2 linked regions of the Caenorhabditis elegans genome follow. The protein of the gene in region 1 interacts with the protein of each later gene in a pairwise test. Each region holds a gene or a part of one and is shown in the gene's direction. Other genes may lie near its edges.

Region 1 (7,464 bases):
TTGATAAGAAAAAACGGAAAAAATCGGTGAAAAACGAAAGAAAACACGCAGAAAACAAAGCAAGATAAATGGCCGCTGAAATTTGTCGGGGACTCGGTCATGGCCTAGAAACCTTTTTGCCTCGTCCCTCGTTCGAAAAAAGTTGCAGCATAAAGGAAAAATAAAAGTCGAGTGAAACAATTTCTAATAAATAATACAACAAATATATAATTACCTCTGCAGAAACACTCGGCAACTCGTATCTCACTGTCGGCGACTCAACATTTGACATTTTATGTGTAATCTGAAAAATTAATTTCAAAATAAATATTGAAGAGAAAATGTTTTAACTTATAATTTTAAATCGTAAAAAACTCCGCCATTTTTCTCACACAACGACGCTCCGAAATAACGCGGCCGAATTTTTGTGAAACTTCGGCCACGTTTTGTGTAATCCTCTCGGGAAATAAATATTGTTAATTTCTTTTCGAAAAAAACTTATTTATTTAATACTTTTAATTATTTAAAATGAATAATTTTCTGAAACACAATGATTGGGCAAGAGATCCTGCATTCAATCATTTCTGGAGACACTATGACTTTTCGAATCAATGGATAAAGCAACATACAGATGCATCACGTCAAGGTAATTGGTTAGCTTCTGTTCTTAAAATGTTGTATATTTTCAGTTCAAATGCAAATGGTCCAGAGAGATAATCTTTCGACTGAACAATGTTTTAGTGACTCTGAAGAGCCGGAAGTGATCGAAAGACTTTCTCGGTGTGAAATATATAGTGAAATTGAGAATGAAGAATCAGATATTGAAGAAATGAGTGAAGAGATGAAAGCATTTTTTGCAAAAACACAAGAACATCGTCAAAAGTGTAAGTTTAATCGGAATTAGACGAATATTTGTTTTAAATAACTTTGTTTATTTCAGTAAAAGAACAAAGAGCGGCAGAAAAACGGAAAGAAGGGCAATCAAGTTCAAAAAGTCAAGAGGAATACGTTAACGTTGATAAAAGTAAGAAAATTGGTTTATTTAACGGTTTGATAAATTTTAATGGGCATTTTTAGTTAGTATACGTGGGCGTATAGAGCAATCAACGGATCACCGAAACGCCAGCGCCGAATTCATAGCAAAAAGAGAGAAAGCGAAAAAAGATTACGGAGAATCAGCGACAAAGATTCTAGCAATGGAAAGTACATTGGCAATGAAGTTTGAATCCGAATATTCACAAAATCCTCAGCTCTGGCCTAATATTCCATTCAGATTTTGACTATTCTTTATATGAAGCTAAAAGCATTTTTCGTGTCTACTGTATTTGTTTTTATGCACTGGTTTTCGAGCCGAAAATGTTTACCTGTTTCGTTAATTATTTCATATCAAATGTTTACCAATCTTTACAGAATTGTAAAAATGGGAAAGAAAAAGTTTATCGAGAACGAGGATGGAACTACAGAAGTCCAGGAAACAGAAAGTGAAGCACCAAAGGATAAAAAGGAGAAGAAAGAATATCGATTGAGAACTCTTGGAGCAAACATTAAAACATCAAAGAAAAGTTTCAAAGAACAATTTTTCATGAATTATGAAGATGGACTCAAACTAATCAAAAAGATGCGCGGAAAGGGAAAAGGAGGTCAACTCGTTCAAAAAGTGATGCCACGTCATATCTCCTTACCTTATCACATGTCTGGAAAAGCTGCAATGGAAGAAGCATGTGATTGGATTGCTCAAAATACTGTCGGAAAGTATAGAAAAGAGTAAGTTGATGAGTTAAAATATACAAAGAGTGTTAATTTTTAATTTTTATTCGTTATTCTCAAGAAAAACATTTTTTTGTATAATGATATGAATGCTGAAAACTGAATAACGATTTTATAATTCACAACGAATATTTATTTTTGATTTCAGATACAAAGGAATCGTCGTAGCCGTTGGAAGTGTCGATCTTGCATCTGCGCCACGTGTCATTTCCGACCAATATGCTTTCCATACCGATGTTGCAATTAATCAAATTGTTTTCATGTAAGATTTTGAATTTTCATAGGGAATTCATTTATTTTTAGACTATCAAAAATGATTCTCGTAATTTCAATAGTTTTGAATTAATTTCCAGCCCAAAAATCGGAGATCAATACGAAGCAAAAGTGAAATATGTGCAAGAAGGTCTTATGGTCGGTGTTGTCATGGATATGATCACAATTCACATTAAGCAGAATGACAAGACTTCAGGTAAATGAAAATTAGACTATTTGAAAACGGAGAAATTTTCAGAAGATCAAGTTGCAATTGATGACAAGATTCTAGTGAAATACAGCGGAATCCGAATCAAAAGTTCATTATGTCACTTGAAAGGAGAATATGTGAAAATGATTGAAAAGTGGGTTCACATTGAAGATTATTATTATTAAAAACTAATATTTTATTTTTCAGAGCCGAAATAAAAGAAGAAGAAGAAGTAGAAGATGAAGCCGATGAAGAAACGGATGTGAAGGAAAAAGTAAAAGAAGAAGAAGATGAAGATGAAGACATGGAAGAATAATCTGTCTCTGATTGTTATTCATTATTTGTTCTAGTAATTTTTGTTGATTTTTGTACTCTTTTTTACCTTTTTGTTATTTTTTCTGTTTTGGTTCTGACTTTATTTTTAATCTTTATGAACCTATCAAATTTATTGTCGTATTTTTTCTATAGTTGCTTCAGTTTTTTAATCTTCAAAGATACTTTGGCATTGTGCCAGCCGTTTTTGTTATTCGTCTACGGCTCTCTTTTCTTCAATTTTTATCCGAAAACGAAGAGACTGAGAGAAAAGTAGAAATCAAAACTTTGTGACAAGGATTTTCGTTCTTTATTCAATTTTTGATATTATTATGACTATGTACTTCCTAGGATATTGATCTCAATAGCTCCAATTAAAAAAATTGTTGGATCACTCGAATATGGAAATTTGAATGAGTTATTAGTGTGAAATCTGAACTTTTTTTAAAGTATTAATATCAGGAGAATATTTTAGCTTTTCAGTTATAAGTTTCTAGTTTCCTAGTCGATATCGTCAAATCATGTAAAATTTTCATATAGCCAGTCAGAAATAAGAAATTTCATGCTTCAACATTGAAATCCAACTTATCACAATTGATAGAAACAATCACTCTTCTTCCCATCTATCAGTTTCATCAAATGCTTAAAAATCATAATTCTCCCTGTTTTCCAACCAGTTTTAATCGATACATGGACGCACCTACAGAACCCCAATTTTCTACCGTACCACTCTTATTCGTTGCGAGACACAACCAACAGCCACCGCCTTTAGTCTATGTCTCTACCACCCAAACACTATTTACCGCATCGTTGCCGCGGTTTGTTCGTTTCTTTTTTCACTTGGTTTCAAGTTTGCTTGGATTCATAAGGTTTTCAGCGTTTTAAATTTGTCCCAGATTTGTGAATTTTCTCATACCATTTCGAGAATAGATATAATCTTTAGCCCAATTGATCAATATCTTTGTACTATGCACTCCGATTTATTATCGTTTTCAGCTATCTTAAAATTGAGAAATACTATTTTTAAATATCGAATCTTACCATTTTTATAGTTAATTCTTCAATAAGCCATGAAAAAAGAAAATTAATTGGTTAGGGTCGCTTCAATTCGTTACCATGTTGAGCAAAAATATAAATTTACCACGTTTTGATGAATGTGAAATCAAGTTGAATTTAGTATTTAACAAGTCCATAAAAATAATCTAATGAATTTAAATTTGAAAAATCCGCGATTTCTGTTTTATTACAGCTCTATTTGTTGAGAAAATTTTTTTTTTGTATTTTCTCCTTTTTTGGTTCAAAAATACATAGTATTTATAATGAATTATTTTACAGAATGGCTTCAAAAACCCGGCGCGGTTCAAGCCTCGCGAAAAAAGAAAAGGAAATCAAAAAAGAAATTGAAGAAGATAAAGAAGTTGCACCGATACAAGAAGAAGATGATGATGGTCCACCACCGATTTTAGAGAGAGAAGCCAGTTGTGGAGAGAATGATGATACAGATGGAGATGGAAAAGAAGAAGATGCACAAAAGGAAGATGATATTGATGGAAGTAAAACGAAGAATGAAAGTATTCTTGAAGCATTATCTCAATTTTTCACCGCAGATGATGCTACTGTCAAAAATCGTCGGAATAGTCCACCATCGGAGTCTTCATCAACCAGAAATACACTTGGACTCAATCGTGGAGGGGCAAGTGAGTTGAAAAAAAATCGTATTCTATAAGAAATATTCGATCTTGAGAAAAATTTGATAATTTTATTTTGCATTACCAGTAAGTAAATGTATAAAAATTTAATTTTTTTAATCGAAATATTGTACATTATTAGTTACTAACTTTGAAGTTTAATATAATTTTCTGGAAAATGCCCAGATACATAGCAATTTCCCTATTTTATAATCGACAACCTCCCATTTTTTAAAATTTGAATTTTCAGTTCCAAAGGCTCTTCTTCTGAACAAAAACCTTCGCCCTGTACCTTCAAAGACACCTCCAATTGCTACAACACGTTTTGCATCTCTTCGTCATCTTTCATCAGCCCCTGGTACATCAGCGTCTACTTCCGGATCACCTTCAGTTGGGATTCGCAAGTATGGGGTCCCACCGCCGATGCCTCGATCTCTTCGTAATATTGCGGGAAGCATAAATGTTGTTGGGTCAAATTCGTCGCTCGGGCCTGCCAGACTTCTTGAAAGCCGAAAAAGACATTTCGATAAGGATAAAGATGGGAAGAACCCGAAAAGATCTTCACTGGTAGCCTACAATGGGGGGAGAGCCGGTGAAAACTTCCGAAAAGTGCCGCCTTCCGCAGTGTCACCAGCTCCAGGATCAGGTTCATCTGCATCTTCTGGAACATCAACTTCATCGTCCAATGGTATAATAGATGTGCAATCAATGCTCCGTGATCAGTCGCCAGTCAGAATGCAAGTGATGGTTGGAGGGGATCACGAAACTAATGGAGATTCAATTCAAGAAGCTATGGAATTGGCTAATGCTCAAAAGGAAAGCATAGGAAATATTGCAAGAGCATCCAGCCATCACAATATGCTTCTTGGTTAGTAATTTAATTTGTATAAAAAATTATAATTTGTTAATTTTCCAGGTTCGATGATTATTAATGGTCTCAACACTCTACAATCTCGGGATAAGGATGAATACACTAATTTCTCATCAGACCTCTTTTCCCTTATCACAAGATATAATATTAATTAAATGTATTGATCGTCACTATATCATTTTTTTTTCTCTTTTCCTCAGACTCTCCAAATTGACCCCGTTTTTAAAATCTACTTCATTCCTCGTTTCCAATAATTGTCCCTTCTTGTTTTATCCATGGCATCATTGAATTGAAAAATAACAAAAACATGATTCAAGTCAGAATATTATTTATAATAAATAAATGATATATTTAATAGAACGTGGATGCTTATTGTTAAGATCGAAAGCGTAGATAACAACAACAAAAACTACAGGAACAGGAAAAAAGAAAAAAGTTCCAATTTTCAATCATTTTGTATTTTATCCGATTAAGAATCGATTTTAGTGATGTCGCAAAAGAAAAAAGCGAGTCTCTCTAAAATCCAGTAAGTCGTTTTGATTCAACACTGATAATTGAAATTTGTTCAGTACTGGAATGAATTCCTCATCCAAGCAAGTCCTCTCATCAACTTCTTCAGCAAATGAAAAAACTGAAGATGATGTGAGTTTCGTTTGAATTAAAGGTTTCGAATATTGACAGTTTTCTGGAACGCGAACTTAAACGCACAGAGTAGGTTTTACAGCGAAATAAATTGTCCTGGTAACTTTTCTAATTTAGCGATATTCTTGAATGGTCTTCGTGTTTACGTTAAGATTACGATAAGTTAAGCCTACTGGAGCTGTGGCTATATTACGTAGACGTCTACATAAAAATGAGAATTTCCGTCAACTTACGCGGCAGTGTCTCGCCGCGCGAACAACGAAATACTGTAACTTGTCAATTCTGGGTCGCTATTGCATAATATTTTTATTTGAAAAAAATCTTGGCGCTTCATTGGAAAAAGATATTTAGCGGTCCATAGATCTACACGAGCTACAGTAACCTGCTGTGGCGAGGTATATTTATTTGTGCATGAATTCTGGGCGGCTTTCACTTTAAAATCTGGATATATTGAAAATTAATATTTTTCAGGTCGGAGATGAAATGGATTTTTCATTACAATGTGATGCATGCAAGAAAGTAAGATTGTTTTACAAAATGCAGGTTTTTGAAAGATCAAACCAATTATTCCAGTTAATCATTGGGTTAAACAATTTGGATCGTTTTGATTGTGGGCACTTCTACTGTCTGGTGTGTAGTCCACTTCAGCCAAAAGGTAACAGAAATTGATCAGAAATCTGATAAAAAGAGTTCAATCTTTCAGAAAACCACTCGTCTTGTGCCACTTCGACATCTCCGTCAAATGCTTTTACGCGTGAAGTCTCACCGCAACAAATTGCTGAGCATACTGGAGAATTGTCGAATAATGGAGCTGAACGTGGAAAGATTCGAGGAAGTACTCGTGCTACTCGGAAAGGATCTGTGAACAAATCAAAAAGTGGAAGGACTCGTCGACATAAGAAGGTTCCGGATCAACGTCTTTGGTACTTTTTGTACCTTTCAAAGCCAGTCGTTGTCAGCCTTCCAACGGATGCCACTTATCGTAAGCTTAAGAATCTAAGATTTTTAAACAATTATATCGTTCAGACGATCTGATGGCTCGACTCTACACGCTTCTTGGTGTCAGCGGTAAGACCCATATGATTACTCTGAGAACTCAGAAATCATCGAGTGAAGAAGGCGAAGGCGAGTTTTCTGGTCGAGGTGACCCGGTTAGTTTTTTGATATTCTGAATATAAAAAGATAAGGATGATTGTAGGCTCCTCTTGAAGTCGGCGATTCGAAAACTCGTCTCAGTGATCTAAAGATTACACGTCACAAGATGCTGCTCCTGGATGTAGATGATCAGAAGAAAGATGGAAGTGGTGAGGAGAAGAAAGAGAAGAAAAGTGCGGAAAAAGAAAAGAAAATCTCACACGAAAATGTTCAAAGTTTGAGTCCGTCGAGTCGTGCAGAAGATCCGAGATCATCTTGAAATGTCTCCAGTGTTCCAATAAATCTTTGCAATCTGAATCCCGAATTTTGTGCAGAACATTTAAAGTTAAAATTGTTTATAACAGTCAATAAAATAACCATGAAGATCAATATGAAAGAAATGGGGGAGGGGGCAAGTGAAAATTGAGATAGTAAAAAATGATTGAATTATTTGATATGATTTTACAGGAGGTAGAATTAATTATAATTTTAGAGCACTCAGGAGTGAAAAATAATGTCAATGGAATAGATATACAAACCACAAGTTAAAATAAAGGGGTTGGAATTTCTCATTTTTTCCACTGGAACAAAGTTGTTTTCCGACGTTT
Region 2 (7,597 bases), on another chromosome or scaffold:
AAAAATTTAACTTTTCTAGCAGGGTTACAAAGATTAAGGCAGGATTACAAAAATGTGTCCAACTGGTAGTTAGAAAAAATTTTTTTCTAGATTTTTTCAAAAAAAATGTTCCAAAAACCTTTCAAAATGTGCTGTCCTTGTGCGCTGTTAAAATTATCAAAAATTTGCGCAAATCCACGTTAGAAGCAGTTTTAGGTGCCTATAGAAGAGATCTATAGATAGTGAAAAAACGTAACTAATTTTTTGGTTGACTTGGATGAAAAATTCTTTTTTTTTCGAAAGAAAAGTTCTTGAAAAACTTCCAAAATATGTTACCCTCTAATTAGACGCCAATAAATTATTGTTTTACTTGAACCAGTTTTAGGTGTCTATTAATTAGTGAAAAATTTCAATGAAAAAATATCATATCGACCTTTTTCTAGTTCAAAGTGCTCTTCTGTAGCTAAATTTTTCGCACTGACCAAATTAAAAATTTCTCTTTCAAATAATTTTTTCAGAAATGCGTTAAATGCATTCTATGTGACTAATGTTTTTTTTGAGGTTAAATATTGACTGATTGCTGGTTATCAAAACTTTAAAAATGTCTAACTAGCCGGTTGAAGTTATCGGGCTCAAAAAGTCCAAGACTCTAGTCTGCACACCGGCACTTGTTCTAACAAAAACCTTACAAAAAAATCGTGTAACTTATACAAATGAGCTTTTTCCTCATTTCCGTGGAAGAAAATTTCCGGATTCCCTTTTGTAATTTCTTTATGTGTACACTTTTCCCCGCATTCATCGAATCATAACCAAAATGTTTGCTGCGGCGGGCGGCAGCGTCGGTCAAAGAATGGCATTTCGGCGGCGGCAACGGAATCATCGGATCTCATGCAAAACACTCGGGTGAGGCTCATTCTTTCGCAGAAGTTGGCTGATGATGATGAGGATGATAATGATGATGATCCGTGTTTGCTCTGAACGACTGGGGAGACATGCGAGAGAGAGTCGCCCTTTAGAGAAGCAGGATCACTTGAGCACACATACAAAATTCCCGAGAGTTTATCACTGATAAATGGACGGGCGGGGGGAAAAGAGTGGACTGTCCGAAATTTGTGCGCAGAGAAACATTTATGTGCACTCTCTCTCTCTCTCTCTCTCTCTCTCTCTCAAAAGTTTGTATGCAGAGCTTGGTAGTACAAGCCTGTCGACACAATCGGAATGTTGAAATTTTTCGAAAAATCGAACAGTGATAAGGGATATAGGATAAGAGTGTAGGGAGAGGAGCGTGCTTCTACTATTTTGGGACAAAGTCGGAACTTCACTGCTCTCCAGATGTTCAATGTTTATCCAGGAACACTAAAAATAAAACTTGTTCGAGTGGGTAGAAAAGTTGAAGTTCCTGATAGACATATCGCAAATTACCTGAGGAAAGAAATCCTCCCAATTTCCAGGCAAAAAAAATCGTTTAAAATGTCCGAACTGCCATATTTTCCCTATTATACATACTTGTAGAGAAATAGTTTGAAATCGCAATTAAAAAAATGAAACTGTAGATTATCCTGTTTACCTGCGTGCCTACCAGGGGTGTGCGGCAAATTTACCGAATTTGCCGAATTTGCCGAGCACGGGAAATTTCAAAAAAGTAGATTTGCCAAATTTGCCGAGCTCGGCAAATTTCAAAATTTGTCGCACACGTCAAAAATTTGACAGTACAATTTTGACTAAAACTATTGATTTTTTCGCCAAAAAATTACAAAATTGAGTTATTTAGATGCATAAGCAAACATACTACACGGAACTTATTCGGAATCCAGGTGATTGTTCAGAATTCAGTAGTTTTGGTGCTCCAAAAAGCATCAATGAGTATTAATTTTTTGGAGTTTGTTGAGCACGGCTAATTTGCCGTAGGTAGGCACTTTGATGCCTCGGCGTCCCATATGCAGAACAAGCTCAAAACAGACACAACTCTGGAATATGTACGGCAATTAAAACTGAGCTTTTTCTGCGTATCTAAAGGTCAGACACAGCAGTCCAGCTCCAATTTAAGCCTTGTTCGAGCCGGGGACTGTGACCAATAGTCCAGTCGTGGATTGCTCTACTTCCCACTTAAGGCTGGATGGACCTAGTGGGAGGTAGGACTTGAACTGGTGACCTCTAGATTGCTGGCGGCCACCACTGGTTCATTGTGTCCGGACCTCGATCGCGATGTCTCCACTGAGACATTATGCGTACATCTTAAGTTGTTCGAAGACTCTCGCATGACTTCCATGTTTCTTGTTCCAATAATTCCCAGACGTCACAAAGCATATTCCACGTGTTTTTTTTAAACCGCGTTTGGACGAGTGTTGGGAAAAAAAGAGAGTTGTGCTCTCATAATGGAGGTGTATTATGTGCTCACTTTCTCTCTGAGAAGTTGCCTCTTCAAGGATGATGGCTTCCCGTCTCCGGCCGTGGTCTACACCACCCGCGTGTGTTGCATCCCAAAACCGGATACTCTTACCTGCCGGTCAGTTGGCCCGGCAGCTCTCGCTGTCTCTCTGACGCCACCGCTGCCACTCGAGTGCACCGAGTATAAAGAGCACAGTGCTCCGACACTTTAGAGTCAAATTTTCTTCCGATGGCAAATCGGCTACTCACACATCAGGAACAGATTTTGCTCTGTTCTCTGTTTTTAAGATTTTCTAGACACCGTAGTTTCCCTATTAGACATGCAACCCTTGCTCTATTTTGTTATATCTCTGTTCCCTTCGGTTCTATCAAAAAACTGTCATTAACTGACAAAACACGTGCAAAATATTTATCTACAGTTAGACAGTAAACGCCGCTTAAGTAGATCAATGAGTTTCATGTCCAATATGCTAAATACGGTAGGAATCATTTTTTCAACTATTCTAATTTTTCTTGTAGCATTAAAAAAACTATCAACTAACATCCTAACTACTATTTAAGTATCAAGCATTGCAAAAATTTAAAGAAGCAAAAGGCTCTTACTATTAGAAAGCTATATGTTTTCCATTGACCACAGACTCCGGGCTTTTCATAAAAACCTTAGCAATCCGAATATAATTGGAAAGTTTCTATATATGCTTCAACCGTGATAAGATAAGTTGAACGACATTTTGACAAGCGCGCGCTCACAATCTTTTGGTGTATGTGTGTGTGTGTGTGTGGGGTCACTCAAGTATTTGAACATCAATCGTCCACTTCATTTTACAAACACATAGACTGGACTGAGCCCGATGGGGGAAATGAGAGAGTTTCGTGCCGCGCGCAAAGAGCACGTCGCCGCGCGGAGGCGCCAGAGTCTAAGCTAACACAGAAAGTCGGAGGGAGACGAAAAAGAGAAGACGGTCAGTTAGTGTCCCCTCCCCTCTCTCCTCACTGTTACGTACAAATGACCATTTAGTCTTGCTGCTCCATCGGGCTTCTCCTTGAGAACAAATCTTCAGATTTATTTTTGAGTTACCTTACTCTACCTACTAATTTTACAGTTTTACTTACATATTACTCTTTATTATTTATCTGAATCTTTATTAGTTTCCTGATATAATATTATTATTATTATTAAAATTTCAGGCCAGCGCAGGGTCAGGTGTTCCTACTTGTCTTAAAACCTTCAAATAACTCATTATGAAGCAACTCGCCATCTCCTTCTGCATTATCCTCCCCCTCGCCTGCTTCTGGGTACTGAACGCAGAAGACGCGAAAGAAGGTATGTTGTCACTCACTCTTCAACTCCTAAAATCCGACTTTCAGCTCCAGAAATTCGTGAAGCCAACTCCACAGTATTCCGTCAGAAGAGGCAGTTTGGATGCCCATCCAATTGCTATTCCTCATGCAGTTCCTCGTCCCAGTGCCAGAGATATTCTGTCGCATCTGTCTGTGTCCAAGGATGCTGTTGCCCAGGAAACAATAACCTTGATAGTAAGTTTTTTTAATATGAAGGTTGTGTAGGAAGTTGAAAAATTGCTTTTTTTCATAAATCAGAGATGTTAAAGAAAACGTCGCAATTATTAAAAACTAGGAGCGGGGATAGCTCAGTCGGTAGTATTGATAATTAGCAATCTAGAGGTCACGAGTTCAAGTCCTGGCTTCCCTAGGTTCAGTGTACCCAGATCCGTTCATATCGCTTAAGTAACGCATCGTCCTTTAACCCTTTAGTAAGGAATATGAGATAAAAGTTGAATGCTGACACCTTTAAAATTTAGATCTCCCTTAGTTCAAACCTCAAACCTTATCAAAATCATATCAAGAGATATCAAGAATCCAGTCACCGTTCCAATTTCTCAAGTGTCCCCGCCGTTCCCTTCCGGTTCGAGCAAACACACACACTGATTACCTAATGATTGCTACAACTCCCGGGGAGACGCTGCTTAGTCCCTTTTGCGGTGATGGAGACACCTTCTTATACGGCTCAACATAAATACAAAATATTTGCGAAGTTTCGCGGGGTGTTTGCGTTTGCTCGGTGCGTGCTGCTGTGCTCTGTGTCTCACGAAGTCGGCGCGGTTTGGACAACACGCACGAACCTATCTTTTTCTATCTTTAGCTCGTATCAGAACGAGTTCAAATATGGGTGTGGAAAGTCGTCTAATTCCAACAAAAATTTCAGCCGCCTGCTCCGGAGGACCAGCCGTCGCCGCCTGCCTCGGAGGACTCTGCGGACAAGGATTCTTCTGCTCGAGCAACAACTACTGCTGCAGATGCCAATCCGGAAACAGCACGGGACCATGTGTAAACCAGGTCTGCCCAACCGGATTCATGTGCAACACCAACAACTACTGTTGCCCACTCGGATCCGGAGGAGTCCTCGGATCATGTGTCAACGGAGTCTGCCCAACTGGATACACCTGTGGAGCTGGAAACTTGTGCTATTTGAGCAGTGGAAAGTAAAAAAATGGAATTCAATTTTTCCCTTTTTTCATGCGACAAATTGCCCCCAGTCTTTCTATATTTTTATATATTTTTTTAATATATTGTACTTTCCTTCTCCGTTCTCTGACTCTCTGCTCCTTTTAAATTATTCTAATCTATTTGAAACGAATCGTTCCCACCACCAAGACAACAACATCAACAACAAACGAAATCCCAAAAAAATATTTGAATTGTTTTTAAATTTAATTTGTTTATTTATTATTTTATTTTAATTAATGAAATAAAAAAAGAAACATTTGACACTCTACGACGATATGTGAGAAAAAATATTATAGTTTGCAAATCAAAATTTTCAAAATTTCAAACAAAAAAAAGTATAGTTAATTATGCGAAAAAAAAACATTGAGAGATGCTGATGATTTCTGTCATGAAACCGGAAAAATATGAAATAAAACTTAAAGTAGGGGGGCACTGGGAAGAAGAAAAAAACAAAATCATAATGCAAATGTGCTCTAATAATAACTAATTCAAACAATTTTATGCTCGTCGTGAGGATGATGATCATAATCATAGTCTGTATGAACAAATGCACGTTCAACTTCCGGCAAGCTTTCGATGTTTGATTGGAGGGTCTCACTGATGTCATGGGATTCTTTGAGGATCATATTCTCGTCGAGCACAATGTGCACCTGGAAATATTACAGATTTTAGAGTAGCACAATAATTCAGTTGTAAGCTCAGCCTCTTCAGAAATGTGCGATACGGGCTTATGTTAGGCCTAGGTGTAGGTTTAGGCCTAGGCTTAGGCTTGGGCTTAGGCTCAGGCTTAGGTTCAGGCTTAGGCTTGAAGAATCCAGAGAAAAAATATTCTTACCTCAACTAAAAACTTGCTTCCAAAATGGTACACATAAACCGTATCAATATGTGAAATCCGAGCATCATGATCCAAGCAGACTTTGATGATCCTATTAATGAACTCTGGCTCTGCAGTTTTACCCGACAGCTTTGCCAAATGCTCCCGTCCAGTTTGCACCCAGGTATACAAAATGTACATAGAAACCACAATAGCACCGGCTGGGTCAAAGTAGTACGAGTACTTGGTGCCGAGCCAGGCACAGATCAGGGCGACCGTGTTGGAGATGCAATCGTTGCGATGGTCCATTGCGAGCACGTTGACCGATGGTTCCTTGTATCGTTTACAGAATAGGTAGAGGGACAGCTTGACGAGAACTGTTGACACCATGATGACTACAGAGGTGATGGTGACGTTGAGCTTGGGTTCTTCACCGATTCCTGGAAATTTTTAGGATTGTAACTTAAAATCCATTGCTGAGGGAGGGGAGCATAGATTGAAGGATCAGGGAAGGATCAGAGGTAGAGCTAGTACATCCTGTAGGAAAACTTTGAATTCACTTTTTTAAAAATTTTATAAGTTCATCACTTTGTGGGCGAATATATTGAAGATTTCCTCCAAAACTGAGAACCGCAAGACTAATCAGCTCAGTTTCCAACCAATCAGACAAAATGAGTTCGAAGACGCTGATTGGTTCGAAAATTAGAAGGGCTCCTAGGTTTGGAGCAATTTCAAACAATGTTTTTAATCAGAATTTCAGACTATTTTGAGTCTTTCCATGCAAAATTCAATTCAGCATTTCTTACCATAAAGATGGAATTGAATTCCATCATGAATTCCTCTCACCGACGCAATGATCAATTGAATCGACGCCATTCCCATGATCACACTGATCAAAATCAAGGACAATGGCTCCAACCTGGTCCTTCCTCTCGGATACAGATAAGGATCCCTTTTCTTGATCATTCTTTCTGAAAGTGAAATGACAAGTCCTGAAGTGATATCTACCACAGAATCAACCATCGATGAAATGATCGACATGGATCCTGAGAGAACGGATGCGACGACTTTTGCAATCATCAGAAGGAAGTTCACTGCTAATGTGATGTTGGCCATTCTCGCGGCCGTATTTGATTCGTCGTCTTTTTTCTCGTCAACTGATTTTTCTTCGGTGTCTGTGCGTTCCATTGGTTTCTGAAATATTTAGAGAAAATAGTTGTTTGTTTTAGTAAATTACAGACATTTGGATTAATTGTTTAGAAATTGACAATGTGTCGTTAGTTTAAAAAAAGTTTTTAGCAAAAAAATCGGCAAATTGAGGGTCTCCGGATTTCGGAAATTGCCGGTTTACTGAAATTTGAAAGAACAGCAATTTGCAGATTTGCCAATTTGCCGTTTGCCAAAAAAAAATTTAAAACATTCTGGAGAAGATGCTTTATAAGAAAAAAAAACACTGACAACTGTAAATTTGTTTAATATTTCCTATTTGGATATTTTAGTAAATTCATTTTTTTGGTAGTTCTAGAAAATTTTAAAGGCCCGATTTTGGAGTAGAATTGAAATTTTTAAGTATTTAAATTTCCAAAAAGTGGAAAATGTTCAAAGTTTGGGTTAAAGTTTGAAACTTTCCGATAAAAACATTCAAAAAAAAACAATATTTTGATAATCAATTTATGAAAAGTAAACTCAAAATTTCGGAGTTTTTCGGAAATTTTAAATGTCGGTTTTGATTTTTTGAATTACATACATACATATATATCTCAAGTATGCTCCGGAGTGAAACAATGAATTTTTACGTGTTTTTTTGAATTTTAAAAATATTGTTGAAGTTCTCCAAGTGTCTTCAAACGTTTTTTAATTCACAAAATTCTTGAAAAGCTAACACAAGCT

The links. The genes of interacting proteins can lie anywhere in the genome.
Region 2: the proteins of F10E9.3 (region 1) and R02F11.1 interact in a two-hybrid assay, tested with the Caenorhabditis elegans proteins (one large-scale study listed by BioGRID).

Annotation. Positions count from the first base shown.
Region 1 is NC_003281.10:8,307,151-8,314,614, forward strand, and holds F10E9.3 (uncharacterized protein), read left to right. Parts: upstream 1-3,856; 5' UTR 3,857-3,857; coding exon 3,858-4,218; intron 4,219-4,459; coding exon 4,460-5,077; intron 5,078-5,125; coding exon 5,126-5,235; 3' UTR 5,236-5,437; downstream 5,438-7,464. Other genes in the region: F10E9.5 (uncharacterized protein), read left to right, coding at 508-625, 669-863, 920-1,003, 1,057-1,259; F10E9.4 (uncharacterized protein), read left to right, coding at 1,400-1,743, 1,895-2,008, 2,100-2,215, 2,258-2,363, 2,417-2,525; F10E9.2 (uncharacterized protein), read left to right, coding at 5,569-5,606, 5,650-5,722, 6,194-6,241, 6,296-6,377, 6,426-6,704, 6,749-6,873, 6,921-7,136; sas-4 (Spindle assembly abnormal protein 4), read right to left, coding at 7,426-7,464.
Region 2 is NC_003283.11:4,797,539-4,805,135, forward strand, and holds R02F11.1 (CC domain-containing protein), read left to right. Parts: upstream 1-3,555; 5' UTR 3,556-3,609; coding exon 3,610-3,691; intron 3,692-3,735; coding exon 3,736-3,903; intron 3,904-4,591; coding exon 4,592-4,872; 3' UTR 4,873-5,146; downstream 5,147-7,597. Other genes in the region: R02F11.3 (Cation efflux protein cytoplasmic domain-containing protein), read right to left, coding at 5,382-5,543, 5,729-6,147, 6,514-6,901.